Linked DNA regions of Lepisosteus oculatus. The protein of the gene in region 2 binds, or shares a complex with, the protein of the main gene of each other region. Links are inferred from orthologs where the notes say so. Each region holds a gene or a part of one and is shown on either strand. Other genes may lie near its edges.

The links.
Region 1: the proteins of ralgapa2 (region 2) and nkiras1 are in contact, whole or in part, in a crystal structure (PDB 9QU1), measured with the Homo sapiens proteins. The link is inferred for Lepisosteus oculatus from reciprocal best matches to the Homo sapiens genes RALGAPA2 and NKIRAS1. Residues at the interface, in NP_065076.2 of Homo sapiens: Pro20, Lys21, Tyr51, Ser52, Gln53, Phe56, Tyr59, Glu60, Ile63, Arg99, Phe102, Arg103, Trp104, His105, Tyr106, Gln107, Ser108, Lys185, Ile186, Tyr187, Pro188, Glu189; in NP_001364280.1 of Homo sapiens: Lys6, Glu22, Leu24, Leu25, Tyr26, Glu34, Met39, Glu40, Asp41, Val42, Tyr43, Met44, Ala45, Ser46, Val47, Glu48, Lys54, Gln56, His58, Tyr60, His74, Tyr75, Ser77, Phe78, Lys108, Thr162.

What each region holds. Positions count from the first base shown.
Region 1 is NC_090705.1:30,823,051-30,830,809, forward strand, and holds the start of nkiras1 (NF-kappa-B inhibitor-interacting Ras-like protein 1), read right to left. Parts: upstream 3,260-7,759; 5' UTR 3,194-3,259; intron 2,908-3,193; 5' UTR 2,894-2,907; coding exon 2,800-2,893; intron 402-2,799; coding exon 160-401; intron 1-159. Other genes in the region: rpl15 (large ribosomal subunit protein eL15), read left to right, coding at 4,966-5,137, 6,266-6,402. UniProt on the Homo sapiens protein: Atypical Ras-like protein that acts as a potent regulator of NF-kappa-B activity by preventing the degradation of NF-kappa-B inhibitor beta (NFKBIB) by most signals, explaining why NFKBIB is more resistant to degradation.
Region 2 is NC_090697.1:10,026,803-10,034,771, reverse strand, and holds the start of ralgapa2 (ral GTPase-activating protein subunit alpha-2), read left to right. Parts: upstream 1-4,865; 5' UTR 4,866-5,188; coding exon 5,189-5,294; intron 5,295-7,969.

The DNA.
Region 1 (7,759 bases), on a different chromosome or scaffold from region 2:
GGAGAAAAATGTAGAAAACAGAGAAATGGAACCAATCAAGCTTGGTGGGCTGATTAGTTTCTACTTATTCATGACCTTTTGAGGCTCTGATTTATGTTTATAACAATATATGCTTCTGTGTTTTTATGAGGTGCATATACAGTACATATATTACTGTACCTCCTTTTTATCCCTGGACTTGTCAATTTCTTTTTTTAATATGTCGATTTTCTTAAAAGACTCCAGGCTGTCGACACTGTAGACCAGCACAAATCCATCGGCAAAGGAGAAATAGTGTTTTGGAAGATCAAGGCCATCCTGAAGCCCCTTGGTGTCATAGAGACGCAACTGCTCCTTCACTCCCCTGTCTGTTTCCACAGATGCTACATAGATGTCCTCCAGGGTTCCACTGGATTCTGACCCTTCAGAGGAAAAGAAAGATTTCTTATCGGTCATGATGATTATATAGCTAGTTTGATATACTGTAGTTATCAGATTTATAAAGTGTTCTCTGAATTTTAAGGTTTTTGCTGTTGATTTATGTTTATCAATGCTTTATATCAATGCTGTTATGCAGCACTTTTAAAGACATCCATTTCATCTAATTCCATATTTTATAAAATCACCCAAGTACAGAGTTTTGTGCCTTCTCTTTGGTCACTATCCTCGGGTAGTTTTAGTATTAAAATGTTTCCTATGAGGAGACTAAGTTGTTACACAGTGATGTTCATGAACATCAGAATTGGCAACTTCCAATTTCCACCACTGTAACAAAATGAAGAGTAGTAAATATTGTTTATTAAACAATATTGGACCACGAGCTCTCTTCAAACTTCACTCACTCATCGTCACAAGCAATTCGCATTAACAGCGAAGTTACTACTTTCTAGCCTGATCTCATCTATCAAATATCAGAAGGTGATCAAGGCTGGGTGTAGTCAGTTCAGGGATGGGAATCCTCTAAGGAAAACCAGTTTGCTACTGCATGTCGTGTTGGAATAGAATCTCCAGGGCAGTGCCCATTATGATGACTGGGGACACTGAGTTACAGGTGATGCCATTAAAGATTAAAGATTCTATGGCACAGTCTGAAGGAGAAATGGCGATAATCCAGGAGTCCTGAATAATTTCCTGCCTGGCTAACACAATACAACAGGTAAAGCAATGTCTCATTCCTGCTGCAGAATGGGGCTGCTGGGGCAGAATGGTTACAGGTCATCACCCAGGTGGGTGGATGGATGATGAGGCTCCATTCTACACAAAAGAGCTCTGGGAAGAAAAGTGCTACACAAATTCAAACAATTATAACTTAAATTAAAATTTCCAGTAAATCAGATCATTAAAAGCACACCATCTCAGGTTTTGGAAATAATTATTTATAGCGTGCTTGTCCCATTAGTTGGTAGCCATTTTGTGTCCTGTTGTCCCTGTGATGAGGACGGCTCAGAAGCTCTTGTTTTCCTGCTCCTCCTTCTCCTTGTGGCTGCTGGTCTCCATCATATGGTAATGATGGTGTGTCTTTTAAAGCCAGTTTTATAATTCCTTTGAACAAATAAATGGGTTCTGGTTTGTGAGGCAGCAGATAATCTTTTTATAATTATTCTGTTTTCTTCTCTACCTTATCTTTTATTTCTGAAGGGCATAGTGATGTCTGCATGCATTCCTGGTTTCAGATAAATTCCTTACTGAGGCCTGCACAAAAAGTACAGGCTACAGTAGTGTATACTTTAGCACACTGAGTGCTATGCTGGTGAACAATTTGTTGCAGTAAACAAACGGACATTATGTATTTTGCTACGTCTCAATCTAAACGTATTTGTCCAAATGTATGGTGATGTCCCCATGATGCTCTAGAGATCATGGTGTTCCATGTTAACAATTTCCAGGTTGGAGATAGGGGTTTCCTTTTCCCTAGTTACTTAAGCAAACCACAGCCACAAGGACACATTCAAGAAGCAAAACAGGTCTGGGGCACTTCAAAGCAAAACCACCATTTTGCTGGAATAACTCAGAGTTCATCAAGAGTGGATAAACACTGTTTTATGTGCAGTGTAGTAGATGTATATTGTATTTTTTTCCTTCTCATCATATGCCTATGTCTCTTATTTTTGAAGGGGTTTGTGATGTGTTAATTGTATAGTGTGCTGTGTGTTGAGTTTCCCACCTGGGTCAATAAAAGAATTCATGCACTGAGTATCATACATTGCATTGTGAAGCAAGGTAAAATAATTTCTATATACAGTATATATAGATACAATAGCAATTAGAAGTAAAACCTGGGGTTTCTTGTTACTATACTTTCCCATGTATTGTATTCAGACACTATCAGATATCTCCCAAGGTTTATTTCTTCTGCTCTGCCCAGCTGGGTAGAGTTAAGTTCGCACACCTGAAACAAACTCCTTCGTTAGCGCAGTGTTCATACCAATTCGGTGTTTAAAGTACTGATTAAAATGTTAAAATCATATCTACGATACAAAATTGTGTTAAAATCATATCTACGATACAAAATTGAATCAATTTTGAATTGTAGATAGGATTTCAACATTTTAATCAGTACTTTAAACACCAAATCGGTATGAACGCTGCTCTAACGAAGGAGTTTGCTTCTTGATTGTAAACTTGCCAGATCCGAAACCATGAATCCGAAACCATGAAAACCTCTGCTATAAACTATAATGCTGTCTTGGAAAACGGGAAACGATTAACTCCTGTGTCAATACTGAGGTGCACAGTCTTGGCTTTTAATTATCCTGTTACATGCACTCGTTTTGATTGAGCTGGCAAGCTACTTATCACACCTAAAAAAAAAAAACTTACCCACAATATGATTTCCATACAGCAGTTGCTCCAGAATGGCCGTCTTCCCCACAGCTGCCAACCCGCAGACCACAACTTTACATCCTTTACCCATTTGGTTTTAAAAACCTGGAGAGTTCGTGGAAATGAAACGAGGGAAAACTAAACCGCCTCAATCAAAATAACTACGAGAAGCAGTTCGGAATGCAGCGCCACAGGAGCGGTCTATGTCATTAGGGATTTTTCTAAAAATATAAGCTACTACAGTATATAGACATGCGTGTAGCTCCGCTTTAAAGTTTCAGGCTAAATTCAACGCTCCTGCACAATTTAGCAAAGAAACAAACTGAACCGACATCACATCCAGTTATTTCTTGTAGTTCAACAATAATACATTCAATGATAAACCGGTCACCTCTGCAGCAAAGGCGACAACTTGACAGGAAGCTCTACAGTAGAGAGCTGCGCAGGTCCGCTCGTACACTTAAACACAGGTGAATAATCAGGGGAATAATCAAGTTAATTATTGTTCTCGGAGTTTCTTATCTTTATCATTTATTGTTTTAGCTAAAGGTAATAGATGGTGGTGGTTACATTACCTGTAAAGCGCTTTTAGTTAGTGTCCAGAAAAGCGCTATATAAGTGTAAGCAATTTTTATTATTATTATTATTATTATTATTATTATTATTATTATTATTAGATATATATAAATATTAACAGAAGCGAAGTATGGATATTCACCCTGGTGGTATTGGTTGGCGGATTCAAAATAGCATTAGAAAGCTTTGCCGTCCTTGAAAGAGGTCTCAGTTTACGCTTTACATAAGTACAATTGATGTCTGTAGGAAAATACTACATGTTTTTGATCATTAATATATCGGTACCGATTTCTACACCGGTAACTGAGAACTTGAAAGCTTTCATGGGAAAGAATAAGGGTTCTTAAATAACTCAATTGCCTAAATTTGTAATGATGTCAGCCGCATCTTCTTAAACAAAAATGTATATTTAAAAGGAATAATTAACATTAATCCAGAAGATTGGAGGACATAAATTGAAATAAGAAGTTTTGAAACAGAAAGTACTTGACATGCCTCTTGACATAAAGAGTTGTGCGGGGTTGGGTCAAACAATTTAATTGTTGTGTAAGAAGAGAACCGATACTTAAAACACCTATGCGATGCTGGATCAGCAAGTGTTTGCAAACAGAAAAGACACATAATTCTTAGGTTTCTCATGCTCGCTCCTAACTCTTCAGTACAGACTTCCAGAGTTCGCTGCGGGAATAATGGAAATGAATGAGGCCCAACATACCATACAAGTACAACCTAAATAATTGTAAAGAAACATATATATATAACCCTAAATTGCGTTCTATTTCCTGTAGGGAGTGCTTGCAATATTCTGAAACAATATTTTGTTGCTTCCAGCCAAAACATCATCCTAATTCCAAGGTACTGTTCACTACATTTCCCAAGCACCCTTGCGTTGTCGCATCAACTTCCGCCGGTAGATTTTCATAAAGCATGATGGGATAGCTCCCTCTTCCTTTCCGGCTGGTACGCCATCATGTAAGGAGATTGTGTTTGGTTATTCTGTATGTGCAATCCACATAGAATCCGTAATAAAATCTTATCATCGGGTCGAAATAAGTTGAAGTTAAAGTGTAGAGTTTATAAATGTTTTGGTACTACCGTTATTGAAGTGTAACAGTGGATAAAGAGAGAGTTATTTGCGATTGAAGTTTGGGAAAAGGTGCAGGGTACGTGTAGACAGCCATTGAGTGAAATGGTGCTCTACAACGTGACTTTTCGTTCGGATACATAGTATTTATTCACCGGCTTTACAGCCACATGAGATCGGGTGAATATAACGAATATGTAATCATTTGAGAAGGCCAACGTTGTTAAAATGTAGTTGTAAAGTGTATGTGCGGTTGGTCGCATTGGCTTGCGGGTACCATGATTCTTTCAAAGTGTGTTAAGGAAAATAAAGAGAAAGAAACCCTATTAAAGGGTTTATAGTTACCCCTGGTTTCGATCTAAAGCGTGAGACCGTAAGGTGCTTTTCTTCTTTCCTGGTGGTTTTCAAGCCGGGAAGCAGCCTCAGAAAATGTCGGATGAGTGTAGAAACTCGGGACAGGCTTGACACAGACTTGACTGCTCTTCTTGTCCGCTTAGACCAAAATGGGAGCGTACAAGTACATGCAGGAGCTATGGAGGAAGAAGCAGTCCGACGTGATGCGCTTCTTGCTGCGCGTCCGCTGCTGGCAGTACCGCCAGCTGTCTGCCCTCCACCGCGCTCCCCGACCCACCAGGCCCGACAAGGCCCGCAGGCTCGGGTACAAGGCGAAGCAAGGTACGTACGCGATCGCCCGCCGAGCCGGTGGCCGTGTGTAGAAATCCTCTTCCCGATCTGTGTGGTCCTGCACCAGTAGGTATGCAATTGGTGCGGTGGCTCACAGCGTTGGTGAATGATGCACGTAGCGGCACAGGTTTTGTATTGCTAAACGGGTAGCTGGTAGACGGCTTTCGTACTCTGTGAACCAAATCTGCATTTAAACAAAATGAAGTCTTCTCCTGATTTCCTAAGCCTATTTTGTCGAAAAATGTCAACGTGTATAATTGATGGGAGTTCTACCCCCTTTGAAATGTAGCATCTTCTTGTGCACTCTTCTGGATGTTTACAGCAATAATTTGGACGAATGGGTTTATGGAAAAGATTTCACATGCTTTGGGATTCTGTCTGCCAAGTTAAAGCAAAGATCAAGTAGATGCATTTTATCCTGTACCTGTATGAAGAGAATAGTTTGGTATTTTCTGTTTTGCTATTGATTTGATTCCAAGTGACATATACTCATTTTCTGAACACCTTCCTAAAGCCATGTGAGTAAAATGTCTTGCAAAGTGTATAGCACTGTCCCCCCAAGGATATGCATCTACTACCTTCAAGTTTTCAGTCCAGAGCCCTGTCACTCCACACTTGTACATAATGAGCAGTAGTAAGTACAGTACAGCACATCACAGGGCAGGAAATGGGACTCAATAGTCAAAATGTGGCATTGGACTAGATCATGGGATCAGCAGTTATACGATCACTTTATTAGCCATATACAATTTCTTGCATTAGGAATTTCTCTTTTGCTTGCTCTCCATGAGAGACAGAGAGAAGCTTGGGGTCAGAGCGCAGGGTCAGCCATTGTACAGCGCCCCTGGAGCAGTTGGGGTTATGGGCCTTGCCTAGTTTTTAGGAGGCTTCAGAAAGTAGAAGGGGGGTGCATTTTAATTTTTTTTCTGGGAATAGTTTGTGGTTTAAGGTGGGGTGCAGAAGAGGAGGGTTTGATGCATGTAAGAGCATCTCAGAATCAACCAGGAGATGGGAGGAGAAGAGCAGTGAAGGCAACAGTAAACCTTAGAGGAGTCTTGCGCCCAAGGCAGTAGCAAAGTGGGGTGCTCCTGTGTGATCTCGGGATTCTTTTTCTTGCAGGTTACGTCATCTACCGGGTGCGAGTGCGCCGCGGTGGTCGCAAGAAGCCTGTGCCCAAGGGAGCCACCTACGGCAAACCCGTGCATCACGGTGTTAACCAGATCAAGTTTGCCCGCAGCTTGCAGTCTGTGGCTGAGGTTCGTAAACATTCCCAGCCCTCTTCTGTCTTGGCAAGATATTGCCGAAACCGGTGATTTCTAGGTTTGAGCTTAATTCCTGAAGTGCTGCAGCTGATTTGCATCAGTCTATTTATATTTCAGTTGTAAAACTGAGCTACCCAACCTACACTACTCCTGGATTTCTGAACACTGTGGTCAGTCCCACTCCATCCTTGACTAGATGTTTAAAGTTGCCAACAATCAAGTTTGAAATATATGATGGATGAAAAAACACTCATTACATCAGTCACAGCTTACATCCAAACAGTTACATCAAGGGAATTCTCCATTTTGGTGAAAGCATGCGATAATGTACACCTGTTATGATGTAATGAGCAAAGAATGAAAAATGAAATTACCTATAGATGTGAATATTTGTATTAAAGGAGATGGCAAAAGAAAATATTCAGGTGTTGGATGTTGGAACATTCTGTATAGGCTTTTGAAACCGCAATACCTGTTCTCCTAGGTGTAGCAGTAATATTTTGAGATGTCGGTCTCATTCTGTTGACATTTGTTTGGCTGCACCTTCATGCACAAGGCATATTGCTGTGAAAATATTTCAGATGGAGGTATACAGTAGCTCACTCCTTTCCAGCTCCATAGTGATTTCATTGGAAAAAAAAATAAATCAGTGTTTAGGTTGCACTTTAACGATAGATTGGATAAGCTGTTTTATGTAGCCATGAGGGGTTGACATTGTGTATATATACAGTATTAATCTTTCTTTTGTTATTCTGGTAAACCTGTAATGTTCAGTTTGAAGAATGTTTCCAGTGAAATTGAGGACAGTATAACCAGAGTGTAATGTTTAAACTAGTGAAATTCAGGCATTTCATTCTGAAGAGTGATTCATTCCATTTTCCAATATGCTGTTTTGGGTTTATGCAGGAAATGCAAGAACTCAGTTGCTTTAGGTAATGGGTTACAGTAAATGAAAAATGCACATTAAAAATCCATTTTAACCCTTTGGTGACTGTTTTGGTGTTTATCATCGTTTCATTTTGAAAATTCAGTAGTCTTCATTGTCTGTTAAGATCTTGTCATTGCTTCAAGTTCAGATTTCTGTGAGCAACAGTGTAGTTGTGTACCAACAGAACTGAAGTTCATTGCATAGTGGAGATCATAGTGTCCAGTGTAGCACATGGTGATAGTGTTAAGTAGCTCAATGTGCATCTCTGTTTTCCTTCACCTGGCTATAGTTAGTGCTTTTGCCTGTTTAACAACAGTTAACCAGTGCAAGCAAAAACTTACATTTCGCAGTACTTGTTTTATAGAACTGTATTCTAATGTGTACCCTTCGTTCCACTTCAGCGAACCCCTTGGTAACTGTAAT
Region 2 (7,969 bases):
GAGTTTGTGGAAAAAAAAAATTCAGATAGAACTTCAGAACCACCCATCCTAAACTTGGCTTGGGTCAAAAATCACAGCACTGAGCTTAACTGCTTAATTGTCTCAGTAGTGTGTGAATGCTAACCCTAACCCTACCACTGGTTCCTACTGAGCATTTCAGTTATCTAAACTTGAGCCTCTCTGGGTATCAAGTTTGACATGTTCCCCAAACCTAAAGGTATGAGTAGGAAACAATCGAGAACGTTGGTCTTATCTCTTGCAATTAAATGATATTCTATAATGCTTGTTGAAAACTTTTTATCCCAAAGTTTAACTTTCGGCATAAAATTACCATGCTGTGCACGCCACCATCCAGGCCCCAGAGAGTTTCTGAAAAAAAGTTCTCAGATAACTCTATAAATCCACCCATCCCAAACCTGGCTTGGGCCAAAAATAACAGCACTGATTTTAAAACTTGTCTCAATAGTGTGTGATTGCTAACCCTAACCATACCTTGGGTACCAATTGAGCATTTCCGCGATCTATACCTGAGCCTCTCTGGGCATCTGATTTTGATTTCTTCTCCAACCAAAAATTGTGAGTGAGAAATAACCAAGACTGTTGATTAAAGCCCCTGCAAGGGAATGAGATTCAGTAATGCTTGGTTACAAATTTTAATCTGACCAACTCAGTTTTGGGATACAATTACCTCACAGTGTACCATGCCATGCAGGTTCCAGGGAGTTTTTGAAAATAATTTCAGATAGGAGCAAAAAACCACTTGTCCTAAACCTGACTTGGGCCCCAAAATCCACCGCTGATCTTAAATTTGTCTAAGAAGCGTGTGAATAGTTACCCTCACCCTACCTGGGGTGTCAACTGAGCACGATCTTTACCGTGACCTTCTCTGGGCATCAGATTTTGACATGCTCCCCAAACCAAAAAGTATGAGTGGCAAACAATCAAGACCATTGAGTACAAAACATTTTCTTCTTAAATTTTTCAGCCATCGCTTTCTAGATCTTTCTTTGCTCACCTTTGGGATTAATAGCAGCCATATCACCCTGCAACTCACAACTGGCAACCCACTGAAGCTCAGCAGGTGTGAGCCTGGTCAGTACCTGGATGGGAGACCTCCTGGGAAAAACTAAGGTTGCTGCTGGAAGAGGTGTTAGTGGGGCCAGCAGGGGGTGCTCACCTGGGTCCTGTGGGTCCTAATAACCAGTATAGTGATGGGGACACTATACTGTAAATAAGCGCCGTCCTTCAGATGAGACGTAAAACCAAGGTCCTGACTCTCTGCGGTCATTAAAAATCCCAGGGCGTTTCTTGAAAAGAGTAAGGGTGTAACCCCAGTGTCCTGGCCAAATTTCCCATTGTCCCTTACCAATCATGGCCACCTAATAATCCCCATCTATGAATTGGCTTCATTACTCTGCTCTCCTCCCCACTGAGAGCTGATGTGTGGTGAGCGTTCTGGTGCACTATGGCTGCCATCGCATCATCCAGGTGGGGCTGCACATTGGTGGTGGTGGAGGGGAGTCCCCATTACCTGTAAAAGCGCTTTGAGTGGAGTGTCCAGAAAAGTGCTATATAAGTGTAAGCAATTATTATTATTATTATTATTATTATTATAGATTCTGTGCATTAGGTAAAACATAATTAAAATGCCATTTGCCATTTTCTACTGGTTTCAGTTCTGCTGAAGCCCTTTTTATGTCCTTTAATAAGTCTTTCCTTCATAGTGTGCAGTCCTGAAACAGCCCTAAATCTTTGTTTTGGACTGCACGTTTCAAAATTTACTTCAATGTACACTGGGCTGTGGTCCCAGCTCTCTAATGGCCCTTTCACCAGTGTTTTCCTTTTTGTACTATCTGGTCTCCACTCAGGTGGGATCCTGCATATTTAGTTAGATATCCATGTGATTTGTAAGTTGTTTATCTAATCTCAGCTAACACTCAACAGTAAAACAACTAACTTTTTAGCACTTTTTAAAATGTTTGAAATGTTTAAGTGCTACAGTACTTTCATCAAACTGAATGTGAAGACTGAAACAAAAAAAACATTCAGATTGAAAATGTAGCACCCAGTAAGAAAGCTGTTAAAATGAAAGGGACTGTGTTATTTAGCTTAGTCATATACTGTATGTATATACTGTAAACCTTGGTGTTGCCTTTGATCCACCAAACAAAACTGATTCAAAGATTGTATCATGTGTAGGGTGATCAAATAATAAAAAAGCTAAATAATTGATGAGACCAGTTGCATTATTTATAAATATTCTGGAAAGGATGGAGAAACATCATTTGAGAACTTATTGAAGCAAATAAAAGGAATAGCACAATTAGTGTGGGTTCCACTGTTCATATCACTCACAGAATTCTGACAACAAACTGACAGTATCCTTAAACACTAAAAAGTCTTCAAACCCTACATTTCATCAGAGATGAACAACCCAAGGCCAGGGGGAAACTTAGCTGGGACGCAGGGGTTACACCCCTACTCCTTTCGAGAAACACCCTGGTATTTTTAATGACCACAGAGAGGCAGGACCTCGGTTTTACGTCTCATCCGACGCCTTTTTACAGTATAGTGTCCCCTTCACAGGTCGAGCGCCCCCATCTGACCCCCCACTAATACCTCTTCCAGCAGCAACCTTAGTTTTTCCCAGAAGGTCTCTCTCCCATCCAGGTACTGACCAGGCTCACACCTGCTGAGCTTCACTGTGTTGCCAGTTCATATTTTTCTGGTTTCTGAAGCATCAGTCACAACAGAAATACTTTACCCTGACTCTTGCTCCTGTTGCTTTTAACTTCTTCTGTTTCAAGATGTGCCATCACATCAGAGATTATTATTTTGGTGTTAGCACAGTAAACCTTCTCATCGCATAATTTTTAAATCAGTGTCTATTGACCCAAAAGCGCTGATTGTTTTTTACTAGATGGTAGGCACAAGTACTTTCAGCAGTGGTTCTGTTAAGATCTCTCTCTCCAGGTTCTGGCTTACAGAAGAACTGATTATCGCCACTGCTTTTCAATTGAAGGCACAACCTGTCCTTTTTTGTTTGTAATTGATTCTTAATATAAGACTTGTAGCCTTGAACTGATTCTTAATATCAGACTTGGTGCCCACAATGTGTTGATTTATAAAACCTTCACACATCACAGTTGTTTTCCTATCTGACTCAGAAATAGAAATTCCCTTTGTAACACACTGTTAAAAGTGCATTCATTATTAAGTGTTTTACTTTTTTTTTGCTGTTCAACAGTTGGGATCTAATTCATATGCTGGAGACATCCTGGCCTACAAGTTTCTTAATTAAAATTCACCATATTGCATAAAATTGTCAAATAATTTTGTTCAACAAAAAGCCATGACTTTGTATTTATGTTTGTCAATTGCTTTACGTGTGTCAATTTCCTGAGTACCCAAATGTTTTTTTATTATACATTGCCAGTAACACAAGATAAAGTAACAGTATGCATATTCCTGATTAGCAGTCTTAAATAGAGGAGGAGACTACGGGGGCTCTTTAAAAATTTTGAGAAAACTGCCGAGATACAAAACTCAAGCGTTTCCAATGAGATCAGTCAACCATGGCTGTAACCAAACATTAATATACTGTATCCTGTAGGAGCTGCTGTCCACTGGATGAGATGAGATCTGAAGACTCCATCTATACTTTTAATAAATGCAGAGTGTAAGGAAATAGAAAAGTTTATATATCCAAGAAAAGTCTGTATTCATTTAAACTTTTATATTCTATAAATGGTCTCTAGATTCTGTTTGAAGTGGTGACATCTTCTGTGACATGCCAGATTCAGTTACGGGTTGCTGAATCTTTCTGTTGCCTGTATATTAACCTTTAATGGCCTGTCCCATAAAAATTCCCACCAGTATAAAAAGTCTATAAACTCTGAATCTGAGCTTCTGGCTTGGCAGGACTACAAAATATGTCTTCCAAAAGAGCCAGATGTGATATGTGTGCTTGTAAAACAATTTAATCTAGGCTACATTCAAGGTGACCACTCTGTTTCAATTTGCCTGAATGAAAAAAAAAAACATGCTTTTTTTAGTATCAACAAACATAAAAAAATATTTATTGAACATGAGTCATTGTAGCTGAATCATTATTCTATGTAAGTATCTCATTTGTTATTCTTGGGAAACGTATAAAATCAATATGTTTTGTAAATAAAACACACACATTAAGAGGGAACTTTTAGGCAGGTCATATTCTAAAGCGGATGTTAGCCACAACACCAATATTTTTATGCACAGTGTCATGGACTCTTTAATGAACACGTCACATAAGCAAGAAATCTTCACAGAACAGTACCCTCGGTCACCGTGCCGGGCAATGGATGGGACATTCTGGCACAGAGAGAAGAGCGCCACCTTCTGGTCCACAAACACATACCGCTTATAGCAGCTACTAGGTTTTCCTTAGAGGTCCTGGCTAGGCCCAGCCCTACATACAGTACAGTAGCTTCTGAGATCTGAAGAGATTATGCTACAAGCTGCTAAAGCTTATATACAGTATAATGTAATGTGTTACACTCGTTTGTGTGACCATGAGAAACACCTCCCCAAGGGAGCAACATTCGAGGCTGAACAAATTCTTGTAATTGTGTAACACATACTGTACTTCCAAGCATTGTTACACTGAGCCCATGCAGTAAGTAGCCTGCAGTGCATTGTACTGCTCCATGTTGCAGTTTTAAAAGCAGCGAGCATATACGAATACACACAGTACCCACATGCGTGTGTTTAGTATTCACTTCCTAGTATTCGTGTTTCTCGCGTCGTTTTATCAAAGAAAACGGCAAAGACGGAAACGACAAACAGCAATGCATTTTCGGACGACTGTCCTAAGCACGGACCGTCTCCGTATTCCCCCCACTTGCGAGAGGAAAAGCGCTCTTCGGCTGCTGGTCGCGCCGTCCTTCACTTCCGCACAAGAAGATGAAGAAGCGGCGGCGATGCCCTTCTGGAGCGCAGGACACGGAGACGTCCCCACGCACGGCACGCTCCGTGTTTACACTCCCACGAAAGGAGGAGACTGGCGCACAGCGTCGGTTTGCAAGCCAGGCACGACAGCTGAAAGGGGAGGAGGAGGAGTGGAAGGGGGGAGAGAAAGTGATACAGAGAGGGGCTGTATGGTATAAAGGAGGAAACCGCAGCTTTCAACATTTCCTTCTATAGCGGAATGTTTTCTCGAAGGAGCCATGGAGACGTCAAGAAATCTTCACAGAAAGTTCTGGACCCAAAGAAGGATGTGTTGACCCGACTCAAGCACCTTCGGTCACTGCTAGGTAAGAGGACAGCTCCATCTGGGATCACCCGTCCACAGTCAGCGGTGCATCCCCCCGTGTTTGTCCTCTGTGCTCGTTTGGGGATAACACAAATTGATATAGCCGCTCCTATTTGTCTGTTCACCGAAGAGGATTTTGGTGTTTTGTTACGCTGCTAAACCACGTCTGCATTCGGACTTCTGTTGTGCTGAACGTACTGAATTGTTTAAGCGAGTAAAAAAAAAAACACAACGGAGGTTTTTTTTTTCTGTAATACAATGCCTGCTTTGTACTTCCTTACTGTGCGAATTTCGCGGCTGTTGTTGCCGATTTACCTGAGTCGAGCCGGTGCCGCAGGTTTGACGTTAGGATTAAGCTAACCTTGTCATCCGTGACAGCCGCACCAGCACGCAGCTCATTCAATGGGGAAACTCACTGGATCCCAGTGGTGCCGCAATACAGGAATTCAGTGCAATTCAATTTTCCCCTCACGGCGAGCAAGCCACTAAAACGTCAATTGGCATGTTTAAATGTGATCAAGGTCTCCTCTCTGAATTCACCCACTAGCAGTAACAACGGAAAAATAAGCCACCCTCGTTAAAACGAGAGCAGGCAGGAGCGTTGGGTATTTATTGTGACATTGGTACAGCACTGCCTGTAGGGAAAGTAGTTGCATGATTGCTAAACATTGTCATCCTGAATCTTGCACAAGATTTGTGTTATTTTATTTTGTCGATATTGACTTTTCTTGGGTGCCATTTAGCTTTAAAAATACAAATACATGTATAAAAATGTGCATAACTCTCTATACTACAGAGCGGTGCGCTTCGGGTTAGGAATACATACAGTATATACCTGCCTCGTAAGAGGTCATTTTGCCGACTTTTGTCAGGATGTCTTCGGATACATTTTTAAAAAGCAGAAAATAAAGTTGTTTTTCAGTTGGTTCTCACCGTCCTGCTTTTCTCCTGTATTCTTTTAGGGAGTTTAGCTGGGAGTCTTTTTGATAAGCTCCCACTCTGTTGTCAAAGAGGGGTGGGGGTTGATATCTCGAGTTCCTGAATCTTGAACTTCCTTTGTGGAAGGTAGTTAAATAAACTGCTGTCTGGAGCTCAAATGTGCCTGTTTAGCAGTTGAATGTCATATTAAGCATGTGCTGTCTGAAAAATTACTGTAAAGTAATGATATACTGTATATGCTACGTCTCATAGCTTTTCCAGGAGGAAATTCTAAGCAATAGCAGTGTTTTAAAATTATGCTGGAGGTGCTTTGATTTGACCTAATTTGTATAGTACAGACAGTACTTCAGACTGTCTGAATAATTGCTCTTCACAACACCATTAAAATATGACAACAATGGGCTAGATTTTACTTTATAATAGAAATACATTGTACATTTGCTGTAGTTTCACCTACAAATAGTGCCTGTTACCATTAAATAGTGCACTTTGATTTTGTTTTTTGAAACAAAACATGCAATTATTAGTGAAGCACTTTCCAAACAAACTTTAACTTGTTTATTTATGGATTGAATTATAATGTATGTTCTTTTAAATTTTCTATATAGTGAAACCACCAGGTTTGTGTTTTTCCATGTGATTTGCCACAGTTTGGGAAGCATATTCCTAATTTAACCTCTCTGGTGAAACCTGATCATTGTTTAATTTTCTTGTAGGAGACAGAGCACTGAAGACTGGCAGTTAATTTAATTTTCTTTGATTTTTAGCTTCAGCCCAGACTATTTCTTAATTGCATGAAGTCAGGGGAATGCAGTGAGGTTCAAAATCTGAGGAGGTCAGTCTGTCTGTAGCTATCCACACTAGATTCCTGCTTACTGGGGCTCTTGGTGGTACTGTGAGGTACATCGGCCTTAGACATTTTTCACTGCTCAGCTGCTAGCTCCCTGTGTAAATACTACCAGTGTGTTAAGTCAGGGTTGCCAGCTTGGTACTGCTGGCAGACAAACATCCATTATCTTGCGTGTAGGACTCACTAAATTGGCTGTATAGTGGAATGTTATGACTTGAATTGCACTCAAGTGGACAGGAGTTGATACAGTGTATGTAACATCTTCTGTATATGAACCATATTTGCCCCTGTTTTATTTCAGTACAGAATGAAGTACATGCTCAAATGCTAGTATTTTACAATAGGTAACCTTTTCTGTTGTGATATCCTGTAACCTTTCACCCTGATCTGTAGTGCGTCAGTGCGCTTTGGAAGGGAAAGTTTAAAATAGCAGAACATCCTAAATGAAAGTACATTGTAAAACTTACAGAATTCATTGTTAGTACAGTAGTTACAGTAGGTTGCTGTATTTCTTAACACCCCCAAACAGCTATTTATTGTCCGGCACAAAGGAATGTAGGAGAGCTCTATTTTATTTGTGCATGATCCTAAGTGACTCCTTAGCTTTTTTTAATCAGGTAGTATGTTTTGATAACCCCTGACATCTAAACGTTTTCTTCTGCTCATGTGGCATTGAAAGTGATGGCCAGTAATGCAATTATTTCCATGTTCACTGTTTGTCCCCTTCTTTAATGTTGTAAATGGGTGTTTCACTTCAGTAAAAAAAAAACTGCAGTTTCATAAACAATAGATTTTCCCCACTTTTAGTTCCCTGTGCAGTGTACAGGAAAGCAGAGTGAGTGATGATGCTTCAGGGAGATTTTGATGGGTCCTACAGTACGCAAGTA